Bombyx mori: one gene and its partners. The protein of the gene in region 1 purifies or fractionates together with the protein of each later gene. This does not show direct contact. Links are inferred from orthologs where the notes say so. Each region holds a gene or a part of one and is shown in the gene's direction. Other genes may lie near its edges.

The links.
Region 2: the proteins of Rpa2 (region 1) and serine/threonine-protein kinase ATR purify together in Homo sapiens (affinity purification with western blotting; 3 studies listed by BioGRID, with this or other methods). This does not show direct contact. The link is inferred for Bombyx mori from reciprocal best matches to the Homo sapiens genes RPA2 and ATR.
Region 3: the proteins of Rpa2 (region 1) and DNA topoisomerase 3-alpha purify together in Homo sapiens (affinity purification with mass spectrometry; 4 studies listed by BioGRID and IntAct, with this or other methods). This does not show direct contact. The link is inferred for Bombyx mori from reciprocal best matches to the Homo sapiens genes RPA2 and TOP3A.

Annotation. Positions count from the first base shown.
Region 1 is NC_085114.1:7,172,493-7,176,782, forward strand, and holds the start of Rpa2 (replication protein A2), read left to right. Parts: upstream 1-1,479; 5' UTR 1,480-1,615; intron 1,616-2,250; 5' UTR 2,251-2,418; coding exon 2,419-2,428; intron 2,429-2,500; coding exon 2,501-2,571; intron 2,572-2,642; coding exon 2,643-2,864; intron 2,865-3,117; coding exon 3,118-3,303; intron 3,304-3,887; coding exon 3,888-4,093; intron 4,094-4,290. UniProt on the Homo sapiens protein: As part of the heterotrimeric replication protein A complex (RPA/RP-A), binds and stabilizes single-stranded DNA intermediates that form during DNA replication or upon DNA stress.
Region 2 is NC_085123.1:9,983,766-9,987,991, reverse strand, and holds the start of serine/threonine-protein kinase ATR, read left to right. Parts: upstream 1-1,393; 5' UTR 1,394-1,685; coding exon 1,686-1,822; intron 1,823-1,916; coding exon 1,917-2,042; intron 2,043-2,435; coding exon 2,436-3,840; intron 3,841-3,915; coding exon 3,916-4,226. UniProt on the Homo sapiens protein: Serine/threonine protein kinase which activates checkpoint signaling upon genotoxic stresses such as ionizing radiation (IR), ultraviolet light (UV), or DNA replication stalling, thereby acting as a DNA damage sensor.
Region 3 is NC_085123.1:10,687,912-10,692,071, forward strand, and holds the start of DNA topoisomerase 3-alpha, read left to right. Parts: upstream 1-1,327; 5' UTR 1,328-1,627; coding exon 1,628-1,801; intron 1,802-2,091; coding exon 2,092-2,301; intron 2,302-3,875; coding exon 3,876-4,128; intron 4,129-4,160. Other genes in the region: ras-related protein Rab-40C, read right to left, coding at 1-92. UniProt on the Homo sapiens protein: Releases the supercoiling and torsional tension of DNA introduced during the DNA replication and transcription by transiently cleaving and rejoining one strand of the DNA duplex.

The DNA of each region.
Region 1 (4,290 bases):
GTTATAACCATACTGAGACCTTAGAACTCTTAACTAAAGTTGGGTGGCGGCATTTACGTTATAAAAGTCTATAGGCTCCGGTAACCACTAAACACTAGGTGGGCTATGAGCTCGTCCACCCAAATACGCAATAAAAAAAATGTTAAAAAAAACTTTCAGGTGAGGCTTTTTTTCCTACCTAAGCTGATAGTCTTGAGAGGCTATTTCAGCATAACCCTAACAAGTAGGTGAGCTCACGGGGCTCAAACATAATGACGTTGCTAACACTAACCCTGGCAAGAGCAGTGCGCAAGCAGCGGATTCGACGGAGAACGATGACCGGCAGGTGAGCCCTAAGTTTATTTGCCACTCAATAAATCTTAATCATAATTTGGTATTTTTCAATGTTCATCTTAGAGAGTCTTAAATGAATTATAGTGCCACCTATTTAAATTATAATAATAATGGTAATGGCTGGGTAATGTCTAAATATCTTGTTTTAATCCATATTTTTATGATTCTCATTTTATCATCTGCAGAACTCATTAACAAAGCCAAACAAAGCCTTTGGCCTTAATAGAAAGTAAGTAAGGTCAGTGGATATTATTCTTAGGGACATTAGTTAAAATAGTGGTGTATCTTATCTAAGATATGCCGATGATACAACAATCCTTGCAGCCAGCGAGTCCGAGATGGCTGCGATCTTGGAGCGAATAGAGAGAGTTAGCCTTGAATTTGGCCTGCACATAAACCGCTCTAAGACCAAAGCGATGACGGTGGACAGAGCTCAAGTTTTAAGTCCATCAAATGCGCTCAAGGATTATGAGAAAGTGGAGGAATTTATATACTTGGGGTCGCTGATCTCTAACAGTGGTAACTGCGAGAAAGAAATCGGACGCCGTATCGGGATGGCTAAAAGTGCCATGACTAGCCTCAATAAAATCTGGAAAGACCGTAATATTCGCCGAGTAACTAAGATGCGTTTGGTTCGTACGTTGGTCTTCTCTATCTTCCTGTATGGGGTGGAGACTTGGTGTCTCAGGAAAAAGGAACGCAAAAAGATCGAGGCCTTTGAAATGTATTGCTGGAGAAAGCTGCTACGCATTCCTTGGACAGCTATGAGAACCAATGTCTCCATCCTCGAAGAGCTGAAGGTCACCAAGCGCCTGCTGACTATGTGCCAGGAATGGATCCGGAGTTTTTTTGGGCACATAATGCGATCCTCATTGCACAGCCTGGAGAAACTCATAATTCTCGGACAAATAGAGGGAAAGCGCGCTAGAGGAAGAGCGCCAGCTAGATGGGTGGACCAACTCAAGGAGGTGACTGGAGGCCAGATACAGGGAGCGGCACATATGGCGCCTTTACACTCTCAGACAATATCACTTGTACTTGTAATGTTACTTGTAATTGAATATGTTAGATAGTGAATTAAAGAATATTTAATATTTATTATATTCTCGGCTAGATTCCCTTCGCCTATCCACTAAACAAATTCAAAAAAATCTATAAAATGGCGGGAATTAATTGAGACTTCTGTCTGGCCAAACTCCAAAGGGACATTTTGGTTAAAACTGTTAAAAGTTACTGAAACAAAATAAATCATCATCTTTTGGAAGATAAAATATGTGAACCTATAGTCGGATTTTTTATTAGACGAAGTCAACTGACGTTTACTGTGTTGTCAGTTTTTGATGAAATAAAAATAGTGTTGTGACAAAGTGAACGATTGAAAAAACTCCTGAATTAATGAAATTGCCTCGATTGTCTAGTGAACAGTTGGTGTGCCGAATTGCCGATATCGGGTACGGGGTTCGAATTTTAGGCGTGCTTTGTACATACCAACGAGTTTTCGACGAAATATTATGTTCCTATAATATCTACCTGTACTGAATACCGAGTGTTTTAAACATTAAGAAAAACATTGCGAGGAAGTACTTGTAAGACTGTCCTATTTCCAATACATCATATAGTTGAAATTATAGATGTATAAAATATAACAATTATAGGTAAGTAATGAAAATAAAAAAGCTGATTGTAGTTACATACTACTAGCAACATATATTGGAGCACTTTAATACAATTTTATTGTAAAATATAAATAGTACTCTTTTATAGTTTGAAATTAATGATTAACTCTTCACACTCATTGTTCATTCGTGATTGAACGAGAACTGAACGCATCACTATTACTTTAAATATAGCAACATTATTTCACAAAGTGACATTAGCTACTGTCAGCTAGCTTCGTCTAATTAAAAATCCGACTATAGTGGCTTACTCGCTTGAAAAAAGTTTACAGGAATAAGAATCAAAACTAAAAAAATTAAACCATACTACCTTTTCTATTAAGATCGGTTCGGAATTGTTTAGTGCATTGTACTACTGCTGTTACTAGAATAGTCTTCAACTAACAATTTTGACCTCTACTTTAAAACAATGTGGAATGGTTTGTTGTTTTATCATTTACATGGTTATCTTTATAGTTTTTTCTGTATTAATTAGAATTTGTTACATTCAGATGATCCTTCTGGAGGTGGCTTCCTTAACACCACAAATCAATTTGGAAATACGGCAACACCCAAAAAAACTGTAAGTTTACAAAAAAATAAAATTCAATTGATTACGAAAATTTAATATATTAATAATACATTTATTCACAGGGTCGTAGAGCGGCACGGACAGCACCTATAGTCATCAGGCAAGCTTTGCATTCTGGAGAAGAAGGTGTGAAAATATGGGGTACAGAAATTCAAATAGTGTCAATAGTTGCAAGAATCAGGAGCATTAGAATGCAAAGCACTAAAATAACATATACAATCCAAGATATAACAGGGAGGATGAGGGCTGTACTCTGGCTCGACCAAGAGGCTATGGAAGTTGAAGTAAGTGAAAGTTACTTCCAGTTTCAGAGTAATGTCAATGTAAACGAAATCATTAATTAAAATGAGTTAATCCATTAATCATGTCCACAATCATGGTAATAAAAAAAATAAAAAAATCTCAAAGTCAGATTAAGTTATTAAACTTATTCTGTGCTTTTTGAATATTTAAGTATATGCCATTTTGATTCTTTAGATATTGAGTATTTTACATAAAAAAAAACAGATATTAAATCTTTCTGAGCTTCAATTTCAGGATACCTCATCACCTAAAGTTCAAGTAAATGATTACATACAAATTTACGGCAATGTGAAAACGAATAAAGGGACAAAAGTGCTCATGGCATTTAAGATAATGCCAGTTACTGATGTCAACATTATTACATTTCACTACTTTCAGTGCATTCATAATAAAATACAAATGGAAGCTGGCTCAAAGAAGGTAATTCTAATATACCTGGTAATCTTAAAATTTATTATTCGCATTTCCATTCACCATAGCTAAAGGCAGAAGTAACTACTTATAACACAATATTTTGAGGGGTTAAAGACTATTTGGTTTAAGCAACATTTAGCTTAATACACATGAATTTTGTATTTGAAATATTTAGTTCTTGTATGTAACAAAAAGAGTTGATAATAATTGTCAGATATTTTTATTACAGTACAGTACATAAAAATATGTCATAGTATAGTATTATTTGTTATTGATTCTTCAGCAATGTAAATGATGTCTTCTTCATCAGCAATGACTTACCATTTCAATTTTCATATAAAATGAATTTCAGCACATCCAACATGCTTCTCCTTTTTTTCAGTTTTATTTTAAAATAATAATCTACTATTTTCAAACTTGAACCCTTTATTCTGATAAAGACAGAACTACAAATTTAGTTATCATTCAGCTCTTGCTAGTGCATTTGAGTTGCATCATTGCTGTGGATTATTATGTCCCATCATGAATGGTGCTTCCGCCTACATGTTTTTTGCTATACATTACTTCATAAATTGGATTTTATTTTGCAGGAAAAAAATATTCAAGATGTCCCAATTAACAACATGCTGCCTGCAAATTCAATGGTTGGAATTACTGAAACCTCTTCAGTGAATGGCTTAAATTCTCGTCAGATGATGGTCTTCAACCTTATCCGTGGCTCTACTGTTGAACAAGGAATTAGTAAACAAGATATGTATGCCTCACTGAAAGATCGAATGACAAAAGTTGAATTTGAGTATGTATTTTTTAATCAACATACTAAATTTTAATTCAAACATTTTTACCCCAATAAATTATAACTGATAACTGATAGTAAATGATAACTTAAAAATAGAGTTGAAAGGAAAAAAATAAAGCAGTTAGATTTTAAATAAATCATCACAATCAGCCCCTTTTCTTAGGAGTTTAGTGACAAACACACATACAAAAAGA
Region 2 (4,226 bases), on another chromosome or scaffold:
TGAGTAGGTCATAGAGAACGAAATGATCAGCTACATTAAATGAGTCGACTATTATCAAAGCCGGCAATGTGACTTTTGGACAATTATTGGTAAATCAGAAAAACGAATTATTGACTTTGTATTCCATTGGCAGTCATAAAACTCTTCTGAACGACATCTTAGATAAATAACAGGTTAAGTATTAACCTTTATTTAACGCAGGTTTTGAATCGTATTCTTTGAAGGAGACGATTATATTCAAATCAATCTGTATCGCCATATCAATAACATTTTTTTGTCCAAATACACAGATTGCCACCTTTGATAATAGACGACTCAAATATGATAAAAATGATAATGATTACGTGTTGCTGTTCAACTTGAATTGAAAAATGTATAATTATACGATTTTTTTACAGATTTAAAAATAATGACTTGTAGGAATTGTAACTACTAACATAATCTTAGTACGCAGGTGAGCATACGGCTCGCCTGTTTTAAAGATTGTTATTGGTGCTGCCTATATTTTGATAAAATACCGTTGTTGGAGTAGAGTGCATAAATTATATCTGGAATCACTAATTCATAGTAGATTTTCAGAGATCAATTTTGTAACGTCTGGATCTGCGATCTGGATAAGCGTCCCGCTTCAGTATTAATCAAGTTCTGTGATAAATCTTTTTTAAATCGTGCATAAAAAGACTTCACAGCAGCAGGTAGCAAGTTAGCATGTCTCTAGCATTACTGATGTCCAGTGATTTAATTAGTTTAAACAATATTTAAAATTTTGTGTTTAGATGTGTTCAACCATTCGTTAATTAAGTATTTCACAATTGATTGACTGAATTTAAATTATTAGTAATTTATTTATGGGTGCGTTCTATCTGAAACAGATATTCGTTACATATATTTTCGATTCATTAAAAAAACAAAATATGTGCAATTCACACGTGGTAGAAGTGAAACCTTCCAAAATTAAAATACAATTATCCTAAACGTCTTAAGTATATGTAAAATTTTGTCATTAGTAAATAATTGTAAGGTAGCGCTCTCTGTGAATTAATATGTTAATTTCACGTATAATCCTAAATTAAAATTCACTACAAGAGCTTTCATACACACGTTAGTATTAAAAAATCTCACAGATGGCGCTGTATTAAATAGTATGTATATTTCTGTCTCATTCTTTGCTGGCTTCATCCTACACATTTTTGTATTTGTGTCTCTTACCTGTCGTTTTTTCCGTTGCATCCGGTTTGAAATCAAACCGATTCTAAAGAAGTTTTCACTTCAATATTAGTTGTATCATAAAATGGAATCTGAATAAGTGATTTGAGATCCCCATTCAAGTCTGTCCGTCAGTTACATCCGTAATAGACAATACACTTATTTTGGAGTCTGTATAGTGAATACACCTATATTAAGCAGAAAAGAACTTTGTAAAGGTTTGAGTTAAAATAATACTTGATCTAAAGGTCTTAGTTACCAGGTCACAAAATCTCATAAAAAAGGTGTACGTTTGAAATATTTTGAAATATTTTCAAACCTGTGTATATAACAAACTTGGAAGTGCAGTTTTTATTAAAAACTTCAAACAGAGATTATCAACAAACTAGAAAACGAATAGGAATTCCGCGTGAATTGCGGAGATTAAGTTATTACAAACTAATTTAGGATATCGTTCCAAAAAGGTTATTAAAATAGAAATGGAAGATGACTACCAGGATGGACCATTCACAGTGTGGCAAAAGCTTAATGAACCTACTGTGGTTTTATTTAATAATCTAGAACATGCTGTAGATGGGCTGGACCGATTAATAACATCAATTTTAAAATTTTCTGGGTAAACTATTAAGTTTTTGTTATTTGAACAAACACGCTATATTTAAGCTGATTATTTGCCTAAAGATTAATTGCAATATCAATTTGTTCTACAGAGATTTTTCAGAGGATTTAGTTCCAAGAGTTGGTTACGAAAAATACCCTGAAGTCTACTATAGTGCATTTAATACATGGTTAATTGGAAGGCTATTTTACATTTGGTCAGAGGAATACCTTCTTAGGTTTGTGCATTTCGTAAAATATTTAAATTTAGTGATTTTCATTAAAAAAAATTAAACCTTATCCACAGTTTAGTCACCCTCAGCAATCTCACGGCCCCAAGGTTTGAAAGGTGTTCTAAGTGCTAGACAGTAGATTGATTAGCTGTGCACCCATTGTAACCTTTATTCAAAAGCAAAAGTAACCACTTCTGTGCTGTAATGGGACTTTCGACATGTCTTATTGCTAGTTCTCCATTCAGGATCTAAAGGGAAAATTGTGTTCGAAATTAAGATGTTGATAAATTATATGGATGGATATTATGTTGTAGTGGTTATTGCTCAATTTAGCTTGAGTCACAGCTTTAGTGATAGCAAGATAGGATTGTGCCTTGCAGTAATGGTTTCTTTTTACAGAATACACACAGCAAGTAAAGATGCTCAGTTAAAAATATTGAACATATTATGTATTGGTAATGCATCATTTTACAGTACGATCCAATCAGAATACATATCGGCATTAAATACACTTGTAAAATATTATGAAGATTCATATTTAAATAGCAATATAGAAATAACATTACCACACTTTGCTCCAGAAAAAGTGGAAATCCCATTTGTGCAAATAAATTTGGATCCCATATTTGTCAAAGTAAAAAATTTGAAAACATGTAAACATTTGATAAATTTAATACTACAGCTTCTATCAGACAATTTACCCATAAATTCTATGAAAAACTCTATAAACAACTTTCAATATAAAAGTGTACTCAAACAGGGTTTATATATTTTAGAAAATTTCAGTGTAGATCTGAAATTAAATTCTTTAAATTTTTTTTCTAATTTAGTTAAGAATTATAAGACTGTTGGCATTGCCAAATTTCAATATATTTTTGCTGACGAATTCAGAGAAGTGCTAAATTGTCTAGAAGCTATTGTTCACTCCTTAGAAAATTTCTATGAGCAAGGTGAAATAGACAATATCTACATTAAAGATATAAATAAAGTAATAGGTGAACTCATAAGAGATTCTGCTCAGCATTTAAATGAAGAACATAAAAGTGTTGTATCGAGTATCTGTATAGTAATGTTGAAGACAAAGAGATCAGATATATTCAGCCATGAACTAAAACTACAGTGTTTGGCACTAAGTCACAAATTGAATTATCCTAAAGATATTATTAACGTCGAGAGTATGGTTGCAAAAGAAATAGATGCCGTTTCTATTTACTACTCTAAAAATATCATAAAGCATGTTAATAATACTAAAGCAGTGGATCTAAATGAGAATTGGTTTTTTAATCAATTAATAATGGTTGTTAAAACATTACAATCATGTGAAGAAACAAATACCGATAGCTTTATCATAAACCATCATTTGGAGCGATGTTTCTCTTCTTTAAGTATATTACAAAATGGACTTCTAAAGAGCGACAGAAGAGCTGCATTTCAAAGTCAGACACAATATACTACAACTACATTAAAATCTCTGCTAAAGCTTATAAAATTGCACAAAGCTGTTCTATTAGATGATAAAAAAAGTCTCGTAATATTTCTAAATATAATACTTAGTGTAGTTGTACTTAACTCGAATTTAACAACTACAGAAGGTAGTAAGATTCTACAATTGTTGTGTTTACAAAACAATGTACAATTTAGTGAAAAGGATTTAAGGTTTGATAACAGCATAAAGATTGTGATTTTGAAATATTTACTGATTATAAAACTTATTCTGAAAACAAAATGCACTGAAACCTGGAACATAATAATAAACTTTTTAACAGAAACAATTTTTAAGGAGAAAATGAATTTTAAAAGTGAAGTAAGTGTGCCATTTGAAATATTCACGATTCTTAAAAATATTACAACTTAAGATTTAATTTAATATATTTTTTAGGTTATTGAACTATGTCCCTTGTTACAATTAAACAAAACATATTCAGCAAGTAGATTAATTGGAGATGTTTTAATGCCATGTTTCCTAAGTAAGGATCACCACATACAGGCACAAGTTTGTCACACTTTACCAGCGATAGCATGCTCGTCATTGGGTTTATATTCCGCTATTCTTGATACCTATGAAAATAATATAGGACATCAGATATTTTTAAATAGTGCTGTAAATATATCTGTGCTATGTTCAAAATGTCATCGAAAAAATATAAGTAAGGAAATGAATAAACCCAATAGTAATATACTGGGTGTTGA
Region 3 (4,160 bases), on another chromosome or scaffold:
CGAGGCAAAGTCGTGCTGCCGTTTTGCACTACTTGCCCATTTATTGTTTGCTGCGGCACCGCAGCAGATCCAGAAGCAGGAAACATCGTCATTGTGTAAACAATAACGCTCGCCTAATCCCCAGGTGATGTTTATCAAGCGCATATGTGCACATAATATTGATGAAATGTCAGTGTTCTTGTAATTTTATGTAGCTTTTATTGATTATATTCCACTTAGAAACAGGTCATTTATTTTGACAGTATTCAAAACAAGTTCTAATAGCCAACGAACGATAATAATACATACTTTTCTTCGATCTGCCAACCAAAATAACATACGTTCACAGCTACAAGGTCGCTAATTTTAACATTTTAAGAGTTAAAAACAAACATGTCCGTCAGAAACACCTACAAACACTGTCACTGAATATTAAAGTCATACTCAATTATGCTTGTAAGTAAGTTTGTTAACATTTTAAGATCGAAAAACAATCCGAATGGGAACAAAATAAACGACACTGAACACAATTTGCGAACTTTTGTTCATTTTTGCTTCAACTTCTAGATCATAGACGTCGTAGTCATACAGATTAAAAATAAATAAAATTAATGAAATGTAGAGGGAAGATTTCGCGTTTTTTTTGCGTGGATGGATCAACGAGCTCATGTCCCACGCGAGGAGTGAAATTATGTGAACTGTTTCATTAATTTAGTGTTTCTTCAGTAATGGTGATTTACTGAAGAAGTAGTGAATCGTATCTGTAGGGGAGTATAAGAAGTGTCTACTCGGAGTTTTCTAAAAAATTCTCTGAAATCTCAATAAAAAACAACCATTTTACTGAGACTTCCACTCCATCTCTTCACGTTTGATTTCATTTCATCCCAATTGATTAAAATCTCAAATAAATCAACTTGACCTCACGTTTCCCGTATAATGTATCGTTTCATATAATTTTTTATTTAGCAGAAAATTTAAAGAAAAAGCATTTTGGTATGATGTCCTCCCCTTTCTTGTTGAAAAATGAAATTATTGCAACCTAATACCCTATCGCGAAAAGGAAAATCTATGTCAAACTTATAACACTTAATTCTTAATATCACGGGATATCAAAAAGATAGATGCCTTTGAAATGTGGGTATGGCGGAGGATGCTACGAATACCGTGGACTGCCATGAGAACAAACGAGTCCATTTTAAGGCAGCTAAACATCCGAAAAAAGCTCTCTTCCATCTGCCGGAAACGTATTATGAGCTTCTTCGGACCCATCATGCGGTCTCCCAGACATGAACAAGTGATTATATACTCTTTGGTATTTTCTATGATCTATGTGGCATAGATATCTTTATTAGAGGTACGTATGGAGGTACGGTACACTTGACAATTGACGCATAATATTTGATAAATTGTGGGATGTTTATTTCAAATATGTTTGTTTATTAATTTAAGTGATTATAATTAAACACTAATTTAAACATAGGTTAAACAGATATGTAGTTTAAATTTAATATTACGGGGATATAAATTTTACTGTAACATTCCCAGAATATTCAGAGTAATTTTCTCTGCTGCAGGCATACACATTTATAGGTTCAATATCAAGATTCTATCTCTCTGTTATGAAAATAATATAACGTTTATAAAAAATATGTTACAATGCCTTGAAAAGCTAAATAGCAGATTGAATAGAACACTTTGTTTTTTAGTAAACAAACAGATATTTGTAAACAAATATTCTACTATGAAATATTTAAATGTAGCAGAGAAAAATGATGCAGCTAAAAATATTGCATCACATCTATCCAAAGGAACATCAACTGGGGTATGTGTGCACTTCGTGCTATCTTTTGGTTGCTCTTGCTAAGCTGTCGTACTCACAAATTATGTGCTATATATTATTTACCACTCCTAAGGAGACTTGACAGGCTGCCGGTTGCCATCGGCCAGGTTTATCTTTTATAGATGATCCCTAGAAGTGAAATAATCTGTAAGGGACCCAACCAAAAATCTGAACTGATTTCTACAAACCTATGGACTATTTTGTCTATTTTAGTTTCCCTGTTTGTCATCCCTAGGCTATACCGTAGGCTAAATCCTTTCGTTTTTTTTTAGCGTAAAGGACTATCAAAGTACAACAAAATATATCAATTTAAAGCCAACGTAATGGGGCAAGATTGTGAAATGGTGATGACCTCAGTATCAGGACATCTCTTAGCCCTAGAATTTAGTGGAACATACAGAACCTGGCAAACCTGTAGCCCACTATCACTGTTTGATGCACCTGTTTTCAAATACTGCCCAGAGAATTACCAAAAAATTAAGGTGAGCTTTGTCTTCCTAAAGTAATGTTTTCAATTACAGTAAAAGCTCTTTATTTGCGGGGTATTTATTATGTAAATACGCTGCAAATACAGAAACCGTGAATATGGAAAAGCATATTTAAAAAGGACATTCACTTGTATACCTACCTTATGGAATCCCTTTTATCAATGTGTATGTACAGATGTACTAATTAGATCTGCAAAAGGAGAAGTCTTTAGCTGCAAATGTAGGAACCGTGTTTTATTAATTTTATTAATCCGCAACTAGTGAATATGCAAATAAGCAAGCACAAAATTAAATGAGGAGTTTTTACTGTACTTACTTGTATATTATTTACATCTAAAAGGCAAAGAAAAAACAAATAACTACATTTTCTCCTGAGTTTGTCAGCTGTTTTTATTTTATTTAGCTTAGTAACTACTGATGAGTATTAGTATTATGAATATTATTTTGAAAAAATCTGTAACACAACAGAAAATGTATCTTGAAGTGTTAGTGATTGATTGCCTTAATGGTGCAGTAGCTAGTAGCCCTGATGGCTGGGCGGAGGGTCAATGGTTCAATTTCCACACGAGGCAAACATTTGTAACATGATTAATATTATCTCTATATTTAAACATACATATGAGTCGTCTATTATCAAAGGTGGCAATCTGTGCATTTGGAAAAAAAAATGTTATTGATATGTCAATACAGATTGATTTGAATATTGTCTCCTTCAAAGAATACGGTTCAAAACCCGCATTAAATAAAGGTTAATAGTTAACCTGTTATTTATCTAAGATGTCGTTCCGAAGAGTTTCGTGACTGCCAATGGAATACAAAGTCAATAATTCTTTTTTCTGATTTACCAATAATTATCCAAAAGTCAGATTGCCGGCTTTGATAATAGTCGACTCATATATAAGTATGTATATTAGCCTTCTGTCCATACTACAGGCAATCCTAGTATGGGACCAGATGACTATTTTTGTTCTCAGTTATTTTATGTTTATAATTGAATAAAAACTAGTGAAGACAAGCACAATATCATAGCTAAAGGCGACCTCGGAGCAAGTATACATCTGATGCACTTCAGACAAGCTCAAATATCTGATTTGATTGATACTTAGGGCACAAAGGGGTTTCATTTAATTAAGTGTAGCTTTGAGGTGCTTCCCTCATATATGTCTATTAATAATCAATAGTTCAAGATTTTTTACTGGTGGTAGGACCTCTTGTGAGTCCGCGCGGGTAGGTACCACCACCCTGCCTATTTCTGCCGTGAAGCAGTAATGCGTTTCGGTTTGAAGGGTGGGGCAGCCGTTGTAACTATACTGAGATCTTAGAACTTATATCTCAAGATGGGTAGCGCATTTACGTTGTAGATGTCTATGGGCTCCAGCAACCACTTTACACCAGGTGGGCTGTGAGTTCGTCCAAACATCTAAGCAATAAAAAATAAAAAAGATATTTGATTTAAAATTATTCAGTTTCTTATAAATATAGAATAGTTCAACAATATACTGATGTTTAACATTTTCTAATGGAACGATCAATTCTAGCAACAATAATATTTGACTATCACTTCACAGATGACCTTAGAGCGAGAAGTTCGAAGCTGTCAAGGCCTCATAATATGGACGGATTGTGACAGAGAAGGAGAGAACATAGGTTTTGAGATTATTGATGTTTGTAAAGCTGCCAGGACAAATTTGAAAATATATAGAGCAAAATTTTCAGAGATCACATTAGTTTCAGTAAATAGAGCTTTACAAAACTTAGAAGAACCAAACAAGAATACTAGTAATGCAGTAGATGTCAGACAAGAACTTGATTTAAGGATAGGTAGGCATATAAAATATGTTTAATTATTAGAC